4 linked regions of the Danio rerio genome follow. The protein of the gene in region 3 purifies or fractionates together with the protein of the main gene of each other region. This does not show direct contact. Links are inferred from orthologs where the notes say so. Each region holds a gene or a part of one and is shown on either strand. Other genes may lie near its edges. The genes, in order: vbp1, pfdn6, pfdn5 and pfdn1.

Evidence for each region.
Region 1: the proteins of pfdn5 (region 3) and vbp1 purify together in Homo sapiens (affinity purification with mass spectrometry; 7 studies listed by BioGRID and IntAct, counting the BioPlex papers as one, with this or other methods). This does not show direct contact. The link is inferred for Danio rerio from reciprocal best matches to the Homo sapiens genes PFDN5 and VBP1.
Region 2: the proteins of pfdn5 (region 3) and pfdn6 purify together in Homo sapiens (affinity purification with mass spectrometry; 5 studies listed by BioGRID and IntAct, with this or other methods). This does not show direct contact. The link is inferred for Danio rerio from reciprocal best matches to the Homo sapiens genes PFDN5 and PFDN6.
Region 4: the proteins of pfdn5 (region 3) and pfdn1 purify together in Homo sapiens (affinity purification with mass spectrometry; 7 studies listed by BioGRID and IntAct, with this or other methods). This does not show direct contact. The link is inferred for Danio rerio from reciprocal best matches to the Homo sapiens genes PFDN5 and PFDN1.

The regions. Positions count from the first base shown.
Region 1 is NC_133182.1:23,875,907-23,880,427, forward strand, and holds the start of vbp1 (prefoldin subunit 3), read right to left. Parts: upstream 2,928-4,521; 5' UTR 2,904-2,927; coding exon 2,823-2,903; intron 2,560-2,822; coding exon 2,435-2,559; intron 2,008-2,434; coding exon 1,941-2,007; intron 1,213-1,940; coding exon 1,114-1,212; intron 1-1,113. UniProt on the Homo sapiens protein: Binds specifically to cytosolic chaperonin (c-CPN) and transfers target proteins to it. Binds to nascent polypeptide chain and promotes folding in an environment in which there are many competing pathways for nonnative proteins.
Region 2 is NC_133189.1:35,060,236-35,064,649, forward strand, and holds the start of pfdn6 (prefoldin subunit 6), read right to left. Parts: upstream 2,821-4,414; 5' UTR 2,785-2,820; coding exon 2,721-2,784; intron 1-2,720. UniProt on the Homo sapiens protein: Binds specifically to cytosolic chaperonin (c-CPN) and transfers target proteins to it. Binds to nascent polypeptide chain and promotes folding in an environment in which there are many competing pathways for nonnative proteins.
Region 3 is NC_133181.1:42,214,849-42,219,409, forward strand, and holds the start of pfdn5 (prefoldin subunit 5), read right to left. Parts: upstream 3,139-4,561; 5' UTR 3,133-3,138; coding exon 3,067-3,132; intron 2,029-3,066; coding exon 1,926-2,028; intron 1,850-1,925; coding exon 1,818-1,849; intron 1,686-1,817; coding exon 1,611-1,685; intron 1,527-1,610; coding exon 1,421-1,526; intron 1-1,420. UniProt on the Homo sapiens protein: Binds specifically to cytosolic chaperonin (c-CPN) and transfers target proteins to it. Binds to nascent polypeptide chain and promotes folding in an environment in which there are many competing pathways for nonnative proteins.
Region 4 is NC_133196.1:32,811,687-32,816,049, forward strand, and holds the start of pfdn1 (prefoldin subunit 1), read right to left. Parts: upstream 2,958-4,363; 5' UTR 2,945-2,957; coding exon 2,912-2,944; intron 11-2,911; coding exon 1-10. UniProt on the Homo sapiens protein: Binds specifically to cytosolic chaperonin (c-CPN) and transfers target proteins to it. Binds to nascent polypeptide chain and promotes folding in an environment in which there are many competing pathways for nonnative proteins.

The sequences.
Region 1 (4,521 bases), on a different chromosome or scaffold from region 3:
AGACCTTTTTATCTTTTCATCAGTTTTAGCAAGTTAAGAGCGGTTATTCATGAGTTAAAATTGTTTTGTTATATTTCTTTCTTTTGCTTGGCTTCACAATTGTCCCCTTACTCAAGTTTAACTCATTTTTGTTTGATCCTTTGTTTGAATTTGCTACTTTATTATATTATTTTTATTAGTGTAAATATTTCTCTTTTTTGTATATATTTGGGCATTTTTCTGGTTTCACTTTTGTAGATTAAATCACTTTAGTTGGCAGTTCTGTTGCTTACACCCTCACATTGTGAGGTTTTGTGTAAGTTGTGAAACAGTTACGATAGATAGACGTGTGCTTTGTCTACGACACAAATTCCATTCCAGTACTCCACTGGAAAACCAAAATGTTCCCACACAGATGACTTAAATGTGTCTGGGGGATCTGGAATCTCAGTACTGTGTGAAGCAGCCATCCTGCATACAGTAGTAACTGAGTGTGATGCTTTCTTAAGTCACATCACATGACATGCACTTGGAAAATACTAACTTAAGAATATAATATTTAAAACAAAAGCTCATCATTACTAAAACAATTTAATCAAATGTGATAAATATGTTTAAATTGGTTCAATTAGTTAGAGACAAGTGATGTCAACCTCAACAATGGGCAGCAGGGGGCATAAGAATATCGCGGTATGCCACGAGTTTCAAGATACGTATCGTGGTTGGTGTATTGTGATATTTCGGGTCGGTTTTAATATCGTTACATCCCTACTGACAATATCTGGAATAAACATTATAAAATTCTAGTAATTTTAAGACATGTGGGAACCCGGTACGCTACAAGTGATGAAGAGGTTTCATGAGTTCATAAGCAGTACAAAAGAGCAAAACAAAGGCAATGATCGTCAACACTTTCACACATGCTTTTTAAAGCAGTTGTTTTAGTCAACACAACAAGGATTTCACAGCTCATAATGTAATGCAGTGACACAGGGTAGTAAAAAAACAAAAATCAGTACCACACTTGGTCTTATAATAAACCATTAAATTAAAAGATAATTATCTTGATAGATAATAATTATTTTGATTTCATGCTCACATCAAATGCATCAGGACTCAACATTCAACACTTACCCCAAGCCACAAGCACACTTTATCTGTAGGTGGAACAGAGGCCTTGCAGTAGACGTTATCAGCCAACAGAAAATGTGTCTCCATGGGATCTGTGGTGTCCTTTGATTTGATATGCATAAATAAAAATAAATAAAGAGGAATTCTGGTGAAGCAGAACAATACACTTGCTGCATCTCAAAAATTTATCATTTAAAATGTAATTTTAGGGCGAATTTCATAACTATCTTACTGTATTGTAATAATTTGTTTTTGATTATAATATTAAAAAACCTCTGTTAATATTATAATATTAAAAAACAAAATCACCTTAATTATGCTTATATGATTTATTGTATTAAGATCATTTGTTTACAAAGATGAAAAATAAAATATTGAAATGTTCATTTTTCCCCTCAATTACACAGCCCTAGAAGCAAAAGAGCACAAAAAGATCTATAACATGTATAGAGAAAAAGACTGACTTTAAATGACAGGCTGATTGACAGGCCAGTTTATGATGAATAGACACATTTATGTGTATGTTAAAGACACAATTATGACACGTGATCTAATATGTGACTGCTCTTCTGCAACACACTACAAAAAAAATATTTATATACATTTATTAAAAAAAGTATATATATAAATATATATATATATATATATATATATATATATATATATATATATACTTCTCACAAGGAGTACATGAAAGAAATCCTAAAAGCAGTAAATAACTTTGAGAAATCATTTTAAGTAATTTTAGACTGAACTTTGATTTGTTTCTGTGAAGCAATTTTGAGACAAATTTTCTTTTTAAATCACCATTAATTAAGAAATGAGCTTACCTTCTTTTTCTGCATGTGCCGTAGGATTTCTAATGTCTGTTTGATTTGTGGAATTTGGCTTTTCAACCTGAAACAGAGGGAAAAAATGTCAACAATTATAGTCTGCAAAAACAACTTGTAGCCACATATACGCATGCTATCCAGAGCACTTTACAGTAAGGTTTTATTAGTTAATGCATATACTAACATAAACAAACAATGAAACATACATTTATGACAGTATTAGATGTTCGTTAACAGTAGTTCATGAAAATACAGTTGTTCATTGTTAGTTCATGTTAACTCACGATACATTAACTAATATTAAGCATAAATTTGGATGTTATTGATGCATTAGTACATTTATGTAGAACTATGATCAATAAATGCTGTGCAAGTGTTGTTAATCATTGGTTGTGTCAGTAAATACATTACCCAATGAAATCTTATTGTAATTTGTGACTGAAAGATTGACTTCTTTTTACAGCACAACGTAGAACAGATCAAAACCAAACCTGAGTTTCTTCTGCCCCAGATTGAGCTCCATGTATTTATATTTCTGATATTGTTCATCCAGCTTCCTCAGCACGGCGTCTGCTGTGTCATTGCCCGGCTGCTTCATGAAGGCGTCCACATCTTCCTACAGAACACACAATGTGTTTCACATCTGGTTAATTAAGGCTTATAATTAACAAAGCGGTTTTTGAGAGCCAGTTATTCACATGTTCTCTGTCACTCAAAGCTCACATTCAAGACATGAGCAAGCAATCCCTGCACCCTTATAAGGAGAAGAACAAGGCGCTTTCTTACTTAAAGCCGTTTAAAGACGAACAAACCAACACAGACAGAAACATGTCGACAGCATGGACATGAAAATTAACTATATATCCCTTTCGCACTGACCACAAATATTGCTTCAGGGATTCCGAGGTGTTTTTTCTTATTTGCAGCTCCTGCATTGCCACTTTCTATGGTCGTCGCCATTTTGGAGAGACTTACGACTCTTCCTCTTTGACGCACGCGCACGCTGTTCTTACGCACGGGCGCCGCGTGCATAATAAAAGTGACTTTCTTCTTCTTATAACAATGAGCAGGTGATGATTTCATCTGGCCATTTTGTCATTAATTTCTTTTTATATCATATTTAAATTCAAATGTAGTCCATCTGTCTTTGTTAACGTATGTTTTTTAATAATATCCGACATTTATCAAACCGACCGGCAGATGTCAGTGTTGCCTGATTGACATGAGAAATAGCACGAGGCGCTGGCCGTGACGACAGCAGTTGGTGGCAAGCCAGAGGTTTGATCCAATACATTTGCGGTGATATGAAAAAACAGATAAATACATTGGCTCTTAGTCTTCAGTTTGATTTTTCATAATATTATTATTGAGTCTGTCTGTTCTGCTTACTAATGTTACTGTCAGCTTCAGTACAGGCTTTCTTTGTCTGCATGTGGATCTTTAGGTGAAAGTAAGTAGCAGGGCAAGAATAGCACCTTATTAGATGTGTTTTATTAAATAGGCCTATATATGCACTTATATCACACATACAGTGTCACATTATAATTCATATTTAAAAATGATTGTAAATAAAAGCAGAAGAGAAACAAATATAAAACAGATTAAGGCAAGGGCGACACGGTGGCTCAGTGGTTAGCACTGTTGTCTAAGAGCAAGAAGGTCACTGGTTCGAAATTCCGGCTGGGATTTCTGTGTGGAGTTTGCATGTTCTGCCTGTGTTTGTGTGGGTTTCCTCCGGGTGCTCCGGTTTCCCCCAAACAGTCCAAAGACATGTGCTAAGTGAATTGAATAAACTAAATTGGCCGTAGTGTATGTGTGTGAATGAATGTGTATGGATGTTTCCCAGTTGCCTACTGGGTTGCAGCTGGAAGGGCATCCGCTGTGTGAATTATATGCTGGATAAGTTGGCTGTTCATTCTGCTGTGGTGACCACTGATGGATTTAAGGACTAAGCTAAGAAAATTAGTCAGTGAATGAATGAGCCTAAGTCAAAAATGCAGTATATTTAGGGTAAATTGCATTAAAGAATGTGGAAACTAGCCAAAATACATGCAGATTAATTAAACAGAAGCACATTCCACCCTCTTTAGAATAGAGGGTGAAACCAGCTTATTTTAAAAAGATAATAATTCATATTTTTATTGGTAATTTTCAGTTTCTTACAGTAAAACAAAATATGTGAATACTGAAATGTGCAGCATATACTTTGGTTTGTGTTTATGTGTGTGTGTGTGTGTGTGTGTTATTTTTTTAAAAAACAAGTCAAAAGAATACTCCAATGTTCATTCGTTCATTTTTGGCTTAGTCCTTTTATTAATTAGGGGTCGCCACAGTGGAATGAACCGCCAACCTATTCAGCATATGTTTTTTCATTTTTCCTCTTCGGATAACAGAATAAGGTAAAGTGGCAAACTATGTCAGGCCTGTAGCCATGGGGGGTGCAGGTGGTTCAGAAGACCCACCCCTCTCTGACAGAGGTCTAGTATTGACCCCATACATGAGCTCGGTTGTCCTATTTTGACTGCTATGTCATCATAAATAGTGAAAATAACCCATATAAAAAAAACTTAAGACCAAA
Region 2 (4,414 bases), on a different chromosome or scaffold from region 3:
ATGATAGATTAGAATATGTTTCATTTTTACACTATATCTCACACTTTTTGGATAATGTTTTCTGAAAAATATGAATACATGATATGTCTGTTATTTTAAAAAGAAATCAAACACATTAAAGTGAAAGTTTACACAAGTACAATACACTGGTCTGTTTTATAATATGTAGTAATATTATAATTTTGCCTTTCATTAAATATTTTAATTTTAAAATATTTGAGCAATCATGAGACATTAAAATCAAAGCAATTACATATTTTCTATTATCAATAAAATCTATTTTTAATTTAAAATCTAAAGCTTATAATAAGCTACAGTATTATCATTACTGGGCAGCATGGTGGCGCAGTGGGCAGCGCAGTCGCCTCACAGCAAGAAAGTCGCTGATTCAAGCCTCGGCTGGGTCAGTAGGTGAACTGGGTGAGCTAAATTGTTTGTAATGTATGTGTGTGAATGATTGTGTATAGTTTACTAGTGATGGGTTACAGATAGAAGGGCATTCGCTGTGTAAAACGTGCTGGATAAGTTAGCGGTTCATTCCGCTATGGCAACCCCAAATTAATAAAGGGACTAAGCCGAAAAAAATGATGAATGATTTATCATTACTGAAAGTTTTAAAGGTTGATATTGTTTTTATTTCATTCATTTTCTTGTGGGCTTAGTCCCTTTATTCATCCAGGGTCGCCACAGCGGAATGAACCGCCAACTTACCCAGCAAGTTTTTACGCAGCAGATGCCCTTCCAGCCGCAACCCATCTCGGGGAAATGTTTATATTTAATGTTATTTTATTTATATATATTTAATATATATATATATATATATATATATATATATATATATATATATATATATATATATATATATATATATTATCACTAAATTAAATAAAAACAACATCAACATCAACATCAAAGTATGTTGTATACTGTAAACTCGCAGACTTTTTTCGTCACATCCATAACACATGTTTATTTATTTATTTAAAATGTATTTAATTTTTTAAAAATTTACAGATTGATTTTTTCTGCTCCCATGACTCTGTGGTTGGTAGCTTCTCTGGGAATTCATGTTTTGAAATGTGTGTATATGTATGTATATGTATGTATGTATGTATGCATGCATGCATGCATGCATGCATGCATGTATGTATATATATATATATATATATATATATATATATATATATATATATATATATATATATATATACATACACACACACATACATACATACATATATACATACATACATATATACATACATACATATATATATGCATTATTTGGTATATGTTTTTTGAACAATCATGATTTATAAAATCTCAAATTAATTATATTTATTCTAATTTAGTTAAAACTTTTTATTTATTCAAAGATATGTTGCAGGAAATGTGCAAGTGTACACTGGTATAACTTGGCTATATGAATATTCATAATGGTGTTACTATAAATACCAAGAAACTTACACAATGAATCATAAAATAAAATAAAATAGTAAAAGCCTTTTTAAAACGTTCAATAATGAGAATTTGTAGATTGAATGTGGATTTTGTCTAAAATAGCTCTGGGTAGCTAAATCAAGTCCAAATACAACATAACCGTGACATTTGTACTTTATCAGTGCATTGCACTACATAGATATTAAACCTGAATACAACAAATTACTACAAATACGTTAAATATAAATTATTAAAGGAGCACACACATACATATATACACACACATACATACATACATATATACATACATACATATATATATGCATTATTTGGTATATGTTTTTTGAACAATCATGATTTATAAAATCTCAAATTAATTATATTTATTCTAATTTAGTTAAAACTTTTTATTTATTCAAAGATATGTTGCAGGAAATGTGCAAGTGTACACTGGTATAACTTGGCTATATGAATATTCATAATGGTGTTACTATAAATACCAAGAAACTTACACAATGAATCATAAAATAAAATAAAATAGTAAAAGCCTTTTTAAAACGTTCAATAATGAGAATTTGTAGATTGAATGTGGATTTTGTCTAAAATAGCTCTGGGTAGCTAAATCAAGTCCAAATACAACATAACCGTGACATTTGTACTTTATCAGTGCATTGCACTACATAGATATTAAACCTGAATACAACAAATTACTACAAATACGTTAAATATAAATTATTAAAGGAGCCGAACATAAAGATGATTGAGGTAAAGTTGGTTTTATATTCGCACATTCGTTCAGTGAAAACTTGTGACATCCCTACATTGTTTACCATGGTGATTTTGATAGTCAATGGCTGCTAATATGATTTTACCATTTAGAATTGACAAAAATACTTTAATAAGATTTTTAGAGAGAAAGCCAATTTACACAATGAGGTAAAGTTGGTTTTATATTTACACATTCAGACTTTCTCCTATTAAAAATTCCGAAAAGTATTCTGTAGTTAGCAAATCCTAAATAGTGAAACCATATTAGCAGACGATGGCTATCAAATTACACCATTATTCAGTCAAATAAATAGTGATAACGTTAATGTAGTCTTATTTACATGTGATTTCAGACCGAATATTCAAAGTACCATGGTAAACAATATAGGGAGCATGCCACACATTGTCACTGAACGAATGTGCGAATATAAAACCAACTTTGCCTCAATATAAAGATGCCCATGCAGGGAGTGTTGGATTGCTAACTCTGAGCTTTTCGTGCTGTAAGTTACCTTTCTGGAGTTGTTGATATTTCTCCAACTCAGCTTGCAATTTCTTCTGAATCGCTTCAGCCATCACACCTGCTATTCCAATGTCTGACTTATTATTATTGCTAAATAATAAAAATCACGATATTTTATGACAAATGCAGACAGTCAGCAGCACACTACTCAAGCACACAGTCTGAGGCGCACGGGAAATGACGTCATATCATTGCGTCACATGGGGGTTTTACGATAGCTGATAAAAAGAGTTACTTCGCCATCTAGTGTTTAAGAAAAACATACACAATTTTTTTCAGTATTATGTTTATTCACACACCTTTAAATAATTTGCTCTATAATTTTACGCACCATATGTAGATTTAACGCATCAGTTAATGTGATTTTTGGATTAATACGATGGGTACAATTTTTCCAGTATCTAAAAGCGTAGTGCCTCTCCTGTCCATGTGGTGTCAGTCTATCCTCTTCCTCCAAGCCCTCTGTAGTGACAGTCAAGGCAATATGGCAGCGCGCATGGTTCAAATTCTAACGTGAAGGTCTTTTTTCGGGTGTGCGCGACCACATAGAATCACAACAGCAGGTAAAGTCAGTTATATATTTTTTCTATAACACAAGCAAATGTAATGACTGTTCTAAATCTGCACCTTAAGCAGCGTTTTAAACATATGTAGGGTAAAATAGTATCATGTGCTATATTCATCTATTACGAGAATGAACCATGGTTTAAAGAGTTAAGTGTAATCATACTTTTTTTGTCGTATCGATTGTTATTTATAACCACAGTATTACTGAAAGTACTACAGTTTAGCTGGGGTTAGTGTAACAAAACCATGTTGATTTGAGGTTACCATGGTTAGTTTTTGTGGTAAAACCATGGTTAATTTTCGTAATAGATGTCATGATGTTTTAACTTTATCGATATTTGCTAGTAACGTTATTCTTCTTCTTGTGATTCTTCAAAACTTTTTTTATTTTTTTCAATAAAAAAATCAAATTTTCTAAGATGACAAACAAACAAACAACCATTAACCACCATTTAACCATAGTATCTGTGGTAAACCTGTAACGTTAGTTACACTAATAATATGTCTGTCAAAACACGCGCACACACACACTTCCCTTGGTTCAATTTCATAAGGGCAGGAATGAAATAATAGAATAAAACATAAATAATTCATAAATTCTATTGTTTTGTCAGGCAGTCATTTTGAGTGTGGCTATTTTTGCTTTTTTCTATAATGAACCTGATATCTTTGCTGTGAGTTGAATGTGTATTATGAAATGTGTTCATGGTTTTAGAGTTATGACAGAGGTTGTCACTTTGTAAAATTCATATAAAACATTTGTATGATGATTAGTCCTCTGAACCTGCAATTTTAGTTGAAGAAATCACTTTTTTTGGACACTTTAATCTCAGTTGTTTTGATTATGCTTGTTACTTGTGGGAGCGACACAGTAGTTTGTGTCGACACACCAATGTTTCTGGTGGGGTTAATTTTATTTGTTGTGAATACTAGTAGGAACCTAGTATAAACACGGCTAGAGATTGGATACACTTGGGATGTTCTATGTTAGTAAACTGTGTGATGTTTTTCAGAAATTTCTTATTAAAGTCTTATGTTTACATAGAAATTTTATAACTTTTATCATCATTTTTTCATAAATCTGAACAGCTCATTATTGATGTTGTTATAATAAGC
Region 3 (4,561 bases):
TAATATTTTAGTAACAGAGGCTATAATATCTGCTACCAGGGGTCCGTTCTTCGTACATGGATTACTTAATAAGCTGGATTTGGTTATTGGCGATTTGACATGATCCAGGATTGTTTAGTTCTTCAAAACTCATCTGAGACTTGTTGTCATAGCAACAGTTCTGGTAGGTCAAACCTGCTAGGGAGCAGGCTCATTTGATATAAACAGGATTAGATCTGGTTAGTTTAAGCAAAGATAATACTTTAAGTATGTACCAAATGCTGATATTTTCTTACAGTAGTTTTATACACTTGGAAAAATAGTAAATATATATATATTTCAACTATAAGTTACTATAATTTAAGAAATATATAGATAAATAAAACTTATGCAATCTGCACTCCGAAATAAGTACAAAGACTGCCACCTGGTGGTTCAAAGAGAAAATGTATTGATATGAACTTTTTAAATACAATGCAAATGCACAATATTCAACTTTTTTAAAAAAAGGATACTGATTTATGCAGTCATGCACATGTTGTGATCGCCAATATGCCGGTGATATGTTGCTTCACAAAAGTTGCAGACACCTTCACCTTTATCAAAATGCTTTTTTGATGGAAAATTAATTCATACAGTTATTCCTTACTCCAATTAAAAAAAACTTGAGTAGGCCTAAGCTACTATAATAAAGAAAATCTTCTCTAAATGTAGAACTAAATACATTGATATGCTTTAAAATACATAATGAATACTCTTGACACATGAAAGTGTTAAGCCTGCAGCTCACAACAAACCGTTTACTGCTTGTTTGATGTAATTTTGCTCACATGGATAATTGAATATTATTCAGATGATGTCATTACGCTGCTGTGCCGTCAGCCAATCGTTGCATTGCTGATCATGATTTCGAGGATCGATGGATCTGTCCTTCACAACACATGCAGCGATCTCAGATCAGTTTATCCAGACATTCTAATCGGATTCGCAAACTTGTTTGAAGAACCAAATTAGCCAGAGATCAGTTATCAAGATGAAAAGATCCAGGATCTGCCAAATCATCTTATATCATTTAAGCGAGGTACGAAGAACGGACCCCAGATCTATTTTCAGTTGTTAGACACCCACATGAAAATATACGACAGTAATCTATAGTAAATAAAATTGTGATTTTTAACCATACTGACATCTCCAATAGATAGAGATGTTGCACAAACACCTAAAATATTGCCAGAATTGGTCTTTATGTATGTGTGATTTATATTGCATCACCAAAAATGATTGAGGTCATGTCCATGTGTTGTACGCTCAGTCGTTATATTGATTATTGTGACAGGCTTACTTGAAAATAGTGAAAAAAGAAATACAATAAAAATGTACTGTATTTTTATCAGCTATGGTGAACATAAGAAACATGTTTTTCAAAAGACAAGAAAATCACCTTGTTTCATGGCATATTTTTCTTGAAGAGCAGGCTGAATCTTTTCAATTTGTTTAGTAAGGAAGTCGATTTTGCGTTTAAAGAACTCTTTGCCGTCCTCTACATTCTGAAAAGACAGAAAAGGCAATGTGATTTACTCAGTTTTGACATTTTTACATATACTAAAACTACTAGACTGATTCTTACTCACCTTCTCCACAAAATAACCTGTTCCCACATCCACTAACACATGATCCACATCATGCAGCTTTCCAGGTACATACATCTACATGACTGAGGTTAAGGGAATAACGGACCACTGCAAATTAATTACACACACATCAAACTGTCTGTGTGACTTTCTTATGTGGCATAAATCAATCAGAACTCATTTATAACTCAGCTGTTTAGAGGATACAGAACTGGTGAGAGGGACGAGTAGTTCTTTACCTGAGAGAAAAAGTAAAAAAAAATTAGCAAACGTCAGATTTAGCTAAAAACGTCATAAAAGAGTTTTAAAAGTCACCTTCATTGCTCTTGTTAAGCACATTCAAACTGTCTTTGGCCTCCACATATTTTGTTTGGACGACTTTCAGCTGAGCTATAGACGATGACAGGAACTCTGTTTCCTAGAAAACACATTTTTAAGCAATTTATACAAAATAACGTGTAAATCTACCTTGAGATGTCCCTTTTTGGTGTCTCAAAGTAAATTAACATTATTGCATTTATATTCACAGAAAGCACACTGAACGCAAGCAAAGTGTTAACTTAAATGTTTCAAATAACTTTTGTAAAAATAAAATCAAAAAATGAGTGAAAATCTATCAAATAATTAACAATAATAATAATTTAGGAAATAATGTCAGGGTAATTCAGAGCAACATATATATTTATTTAAAAATGGGAAAAACATAGTACTTATTCTGTACTAGGTATGGGGCGATAACTGTTTGCAAGGTAAACCGGCAAGGTTTGGAATAGTCAAGGTTTTAAACCTTAAAAGTAAAAATTAGTAAAATAAAGGGTTTGAAGGATAGTGACAAATTATGCATGTTTAAAAAAAGAAAAATAATTAGAATTTGGGAGCTACAGTTCAACCTTTAAATAGTTAAATGCCATCAAAATAATCTTGGTCTAAAAATATGGCTGCCCAGAATTTTTAATATATATAAACTATTGTTATGACATTTTTGTTGGGGTCTTCTGTAAAATACAGTAAAATAAATATGACGGTCAAAATAAAACAGATAATCAGGACACATGTAAACTTCAAAAGTTTACTCACAGAAAAACAAAATTAGTCTTTTAAATTAATCTTATACAGATTATAGACTTGGTACCAAAATATATTTCAAACTGTGAACTCGTTAAAATAAAACCAAGTTGTGTTTAGTGAGAACTGACTGAGACACCATTCACATACAATGCAAGTGAACGTCGATAAAGTCATTCTGCATCTCATTTTCTGTCATACGGAATAAATGCAGCCATGTGGACAATCATAGAGGGCTTTTTTTCCGCATTACCAGCAGCAGCAGCACGCGCACAGACAGCATGACAACCGCAGCCCGTCAGTAAATTAATTCACTGACAGAAAAACAGCAGCACCTGATGCTACTCGGACATACGAAACGATGATGTTTTTTATTTTTAACACAATTTACCTGATCAAGCTGAGTTTTCAAGCCTTCTAATTGTGGAAGAGACAATTCAGTGAGATTCACCGCCATGTTGACAATAAAAGAGGGTGAGGAAAACTTCCGGGTCAAGCGGACGCAACTAAAAGGACTTTTACCATTGATTTTTTTCCATTACACACTACAGTCATTTGTTATACTTTAACAAATAAAACGTCGACTAAATAAACTAACAGTGCATTTATACAGCATGTATTAACATTACCTTAAAAAAAAAGGGAGATGACCAGCTAAAACCAGCTTGACCAGCCTAGCCAAGCTGGGAGTCCAGCCAAAACCAGCTATATCCAGCTTAAACCAGGCTGGGCAAGCTGGTTTTAGTTGGATTTGGCTGGTCATTTTCCAGCCTGACCAGCTAAGACCAGGCTGGAAATGGCTGGAAACTAGCCTGGAAATGGCCAAAACCCCTCTAAAACCAGGCTGGTCAACTGATTTTTCAGTAGGGAATGTATTTGATTAGTATGTAAACATGAGTAAATCCTTATTAATCAATTAACAAACTATTCATTGTCAATGCATGTGGTGCACAAATTTCAACTATTTTAAGCCTCATTGTTAAGTATTAGAATAGGTTTGTATTTCAGTAGACATTGAACACTAAAAATACACACCAGTTAAAAAGTGAAGAAAATGTACACAGCTCAAATCCTTATAAAGCTCATGGGCATTCATTAATGTTTGTGTGTGTATGTGTGTGTTTGCCTTTATGTGTTTGGTATTGTCCTGAGTTTTCTCCAACAGGAGTAGTGTGTATTTTACAAAAGCAGAAAATCTCATCTGAAACACTAACTCATGACAGGAAGTCCGTAACACTTGTTTAAATTAATATTTCATTTTTTCAGATTCACCATTAAACCTGGCCGTTCAGCACATAAGAATCACATCAGATCAGGTACGTCAGATATTTGTACGTCTCTGAAAACGCTGTCCCTGACATTTTGAAGACTTATGGGAACACCGATTTCAGTGTTTACAGTCCTTGTTGCCTGTCGGTTTATCCATCAGTCTGCAGTGACAGATGACCAATTCATGTTTTTCCTCCATGTGTACTCCTTTACTAGCACATCCCTCATTTCAGTTAACCCCTGTGTGCTGTTGAGGGTGTTTTCATCCACTCTGGGGTGATTTTGTGTCTTCATTTGGTCAACTTTTTCTGTTTCAACTAGCAGAACGACTTTGGCGACAAATTTAATTTTGACACGTTTTTGGAAAATGCTTTGACATTTTTAAAGAACTTAACGATACACTCTGGGCAATTTTGCTACCCTTTTGTTATGTTTGGGATGAAAACCTCCACTAATTTAAACTGCTGTAAAAATGCATCAGATAAATATGTTTTCCCATAAATCTGTTAATCAACCTCAGTCCCGATCAAAACTACTAAACTGTTTAGGAAATTACAGTTTAAATTCCTAATTACCAAATTCATAAATCTGTCACTGATTGGTGGAAAAACACACAA
Region 4 (4,363 bases), on a different chromosome or scaffold from region 3:
CTGCAAAAGCCTGCAAAGATGCCGAGATTGAGGTTTTGATTAGAAGGAAATCCGCTGTGATATGATGCAAATACAAAGTTGAAGTCAGAATTATTAGCCCCCCTTTGATTTTTTTTCTTTTTTAAATATTTTCCAAATGATGTTTAACAGAGCAAGAACATTTTTACAGCATCTTTGATAATATTTTTATCTTCTGGAAAAAGTGTTATTTGTTTTATTTCGGCTAGAATAAAAGCAGTTTTTAAATTTTAAATGTCACTTTAAGCTGTATAGTAGTGTCTTAAAAAATATCTAGTAATATATTATTTACTGTCATCATGGCAGAGATAAAATAAATCCGTTATTAGAAATGATCTATTAAAACTTTTATGCTTAATTGGGGGAAAAAATTAACAGGGGGGCTAATAATTCTGACTTCAACTGTAAATTTACAATAAAATTTTATTCATTTTTTTCCCTGAATTTGCATAAAATAGCAAAAAACGTGCATACATGTTTATATTCTGTTTTAGAAAACACGTCGCTTCTGATGAGTTAAAAAAAAATCTAAATTTGGCGGAAATGACATTGATTTTTGTTTTCTGAATGAAATACAGGGTTCTGCAGGTTTCACAAAATTAAATTTAGGACATTTTAAGACATTTTTAAGACCATTATGAATGCAATTTTAGACTTATACAGAACTTAATGCTGAGGATTTTTTATATCCAAGTTAGAAAAGATTTTCACTTGCTAGATAAAAAAAATATTAACATTGAATACAGGAAATATTATGTTTCAATATTTTTTTTATAAATTTTCAAAAATATTCATCTACAAACCCAATAATCAGGGCCAGACAGAATCTGCTGACATTTTTGCTATTTCTGCTGAGAAATTTGTAAAATAAAAAAATAAAAAAATAAAACAGCTGATTTTTGTGGAATGATTATGGTTATAGCGTCATAACTAAAAACTTAATACATGAAATAAAAGCAACAGCTTTTTAGCTCTTATGTTTACAATGCAAATCCAACTAGATCCACGTATTTAGTAAACAAAGCAAGTTTCTCATAATACATCCACTAAAAGACAGAAAATATTACTCTAAAAACTGAATTGTAAATACATCATATGAACATTTTAATATTACTATTGTTATATCACAATAATATTATTGAAAACAATTTAAAACTGAATAAATATAATTTTATACACATTTATACAAGTAAATAAATAGACTCAATGATGGGCTAAAAGTCTGCGGAAATTTGCATGCGCAGATTCCGTGTGGGCCTTCCTATAACCCTTACCAAGAATAGAACAAAGCATAGCTGTCAATTACTTCCGTCTACAATAATAATATTTTAATAATACAAAATGTAGGTCAGGTCAGCAACCACAGCGGTATATAAAGTGGAGTACTTTTTAACAAATGTTACTGTGAGAAAAGTAATTAAATGCTATTTTTAAATAAAACGTTAAAAGTTTTATTGAGATTGGGATTGTTGGTGATTGTTGAGTGTTAATGGCCAGATTGGGTAGTTATTCATGAACATAGGAAAATTAAGACCTGCTAAAAAATATTTAAGACCTACAACACAATATTTTAGTAAATCTAATACTTTTTAAGGCCTAAAATTTTGTTTTTGAGATTTAAGACATTTTAAGACTTTTTAAGACCCCACAGATATCCTGGAAATAACACAGATTTTGTTTCTATTTATAAAAGCTTTATATTTATAATTTGTATGTGTCATCAAATGAGTAATTGTGATTATTGCATTGCAAAATGAATGCAAATAAAATATCTTATGTATATATTAATATATTAATACACATTCATTTAAAAAAAAATGTTTATTTATAATTATCTATCATTAATGTTTGCATATAATACTAATTATACATAAATATAACTGTATTTTTATAATAATAAATCATCTATAGATATAATAAAAAATATTATTTTGTATGTTACTAATTACGATTAAACATTTGACAGCTCTTTTTGACAGCACAATAATAACATTTTTTTCACATTCATATGTAATACAGCAAATTCAGCATTTCCTATAGCTGTAACTGTTATATTTAAACAATTTATATGTTGTTATATGTTGTTGCAGTTGGTAGGGCATTCGTTATGTAAAACATGTGCTGGATAAGTTGGCGATTCGTTCCACTGTGGCGACCCCTGATGAATAAAGAGAAGCCGAAGTAAAATGAATGAATGAATGAATTAGTTGTGACAAATTTGGTGCCACTAATAAATCTTTCCCAGGTTTTCAACATAAATTCTAGAACAAAAATAAGACACTTAGAAAGTCACAACATATAATCTATAAATATATATAAAATATACATAAATATAGACATCACTAAATATTTTGTAAATAAAAAATATTATTTTGCATGTGACTAATTATGATTAAACATTTGACAGCTCTTTTTGACAGCACAATAATAAATTTTTTATCAAATTCATATGTAATACAGCAAATCCAGCATTTCCTATAGCTGTAACAGTTATATTTCAACAAATTATGTCATATATATATATATATATATATATATATATATATATATATATATATATATGGATAAGCAAAAACTAAAGAATAAGCCATATTGAAAGCTTCCTATAGCATGTAATGATGTGTTGATAGATTGATATGTGTTTGGATATTCATTTCTAAAGGATTTACAGTGGTAAACTATAAATATGACGTTGCACATCTTTATAACAAACAATACACATTAAAAGGATTCGCATGCACCTACGTTACACACTGACAGATCGCGTTGCTTAAACAGTTTTATACCTTACTTCTGCTCCACAAAAGCTTAATAACATTTATTCAGTATTTTATCATAACAAAGTAACAACTCTGTTTGGTTTTTAGATATAAAACCAAAAACCACCCTTTACCTTCTTCAACTCGAGGTCTACGGGAGCCGCCATGATGCTAAGTGGTACGAGTCCCTGCGCATGCGCGAAACAAAGAGCTTGTTGCAAAACCTAGTGAGCGGCCTACATAGACAACATTTTCAATGTCAGACAGGCAGGCAATCCACAATAAATGTTCACTAAAAAGGCAGCTCGGTAGTTTTGCAGACACGGTAAGTTTGTGGACTACTTTCAATCTCAAAACAGTGCAACAGAAATGACAGTATATGATAAAGGTTTCAGCGTTATACCAATGTTAGCGTCAAAATGTTTAGAAGCTGACTCTTAATTTAAGCGGACTTTAAGCGGACTTATTTTTAGTGTCTATTATTGTGTGCTACATGTAAAATGTGTCACCCCAGTGGCAACATTGCTCAAGATTTTTTTATTACTATTAACGTGTTGTTTTGTATTGTAAAGTCGTGTATGTTCTGCATTTTAACTCCTGTTAACACTCTGTTTGGTTTCCTCAGGAGACAAATGATGGTAAACCAACTTGAGACTTAAATCTCCAAGCTAAAGACAAGTATATCAGATGTAGTAATGACAACACAATATTTTTATAACTTCACACAGTGAGTGTTTAAACTTTACAACATACATCTGTATATCTGCAGATTTATATCCGACACACTAAAATTTTATAAATAAAAAATAGTAAATCTAAATAATAAAAATAGTTTTATTATTGGTTGTGGGACGACACGGTGGCTTAGTGGATAGCACTGTCTTCTCACAGCAAGAAGATCTCTGGTTCGAGTCCCAGCTGGGTCAGTGGGCAATTCTTTGGAGTTTGCATGTTCTCTCCATGTTGGCGTGGGTTTCCTCAGGGTGCGCCGGTTTCCCCCACAGTTCAAAGACATGCAGTGAATTGAATAAACTAAATTGGTACTGTATGTGTGTGAATTTAATGAGTGTTTATGTATCTTGTCCAGTACTGGGTTGCAGTTATTAGGGCATTTGTTGTGTAAAACATGTGCTGGTTAGTGATTCATTCCACTGGGGCAAACCCCTGATAAATAAAGAGACTAAGCCGAAGTAAAATGAATGAATTAATTAGTTGTGACAAATACGGTGCCACTTATGAATCTTTCCCAGGTTTTCAACAAAAATAAGAGACACTTAGAAAGTCACAATAGTTTATTAAACAGCAGAAATTTGTTACCATTGCTTGAAATTAGTACATGAAATCATGTAATTTATACTAAACGCATAAAACAAACACACTAATAAACGTATTCCATTTTATTTCACTTAATTTAAGCTACACTTTCTCAGTAATACATATAAAAAAGGCTTAAGCCCTGCGTCTGACATTCCTGCAGAGTACATTTATTTGATTGCATTCGCAAATGTTTAATTCACAGTTTAGCTAAAATATTATTCAAACCGTACTGTCCTCCGAATGCGATTGTAAAGTTTGCGATGCAACTT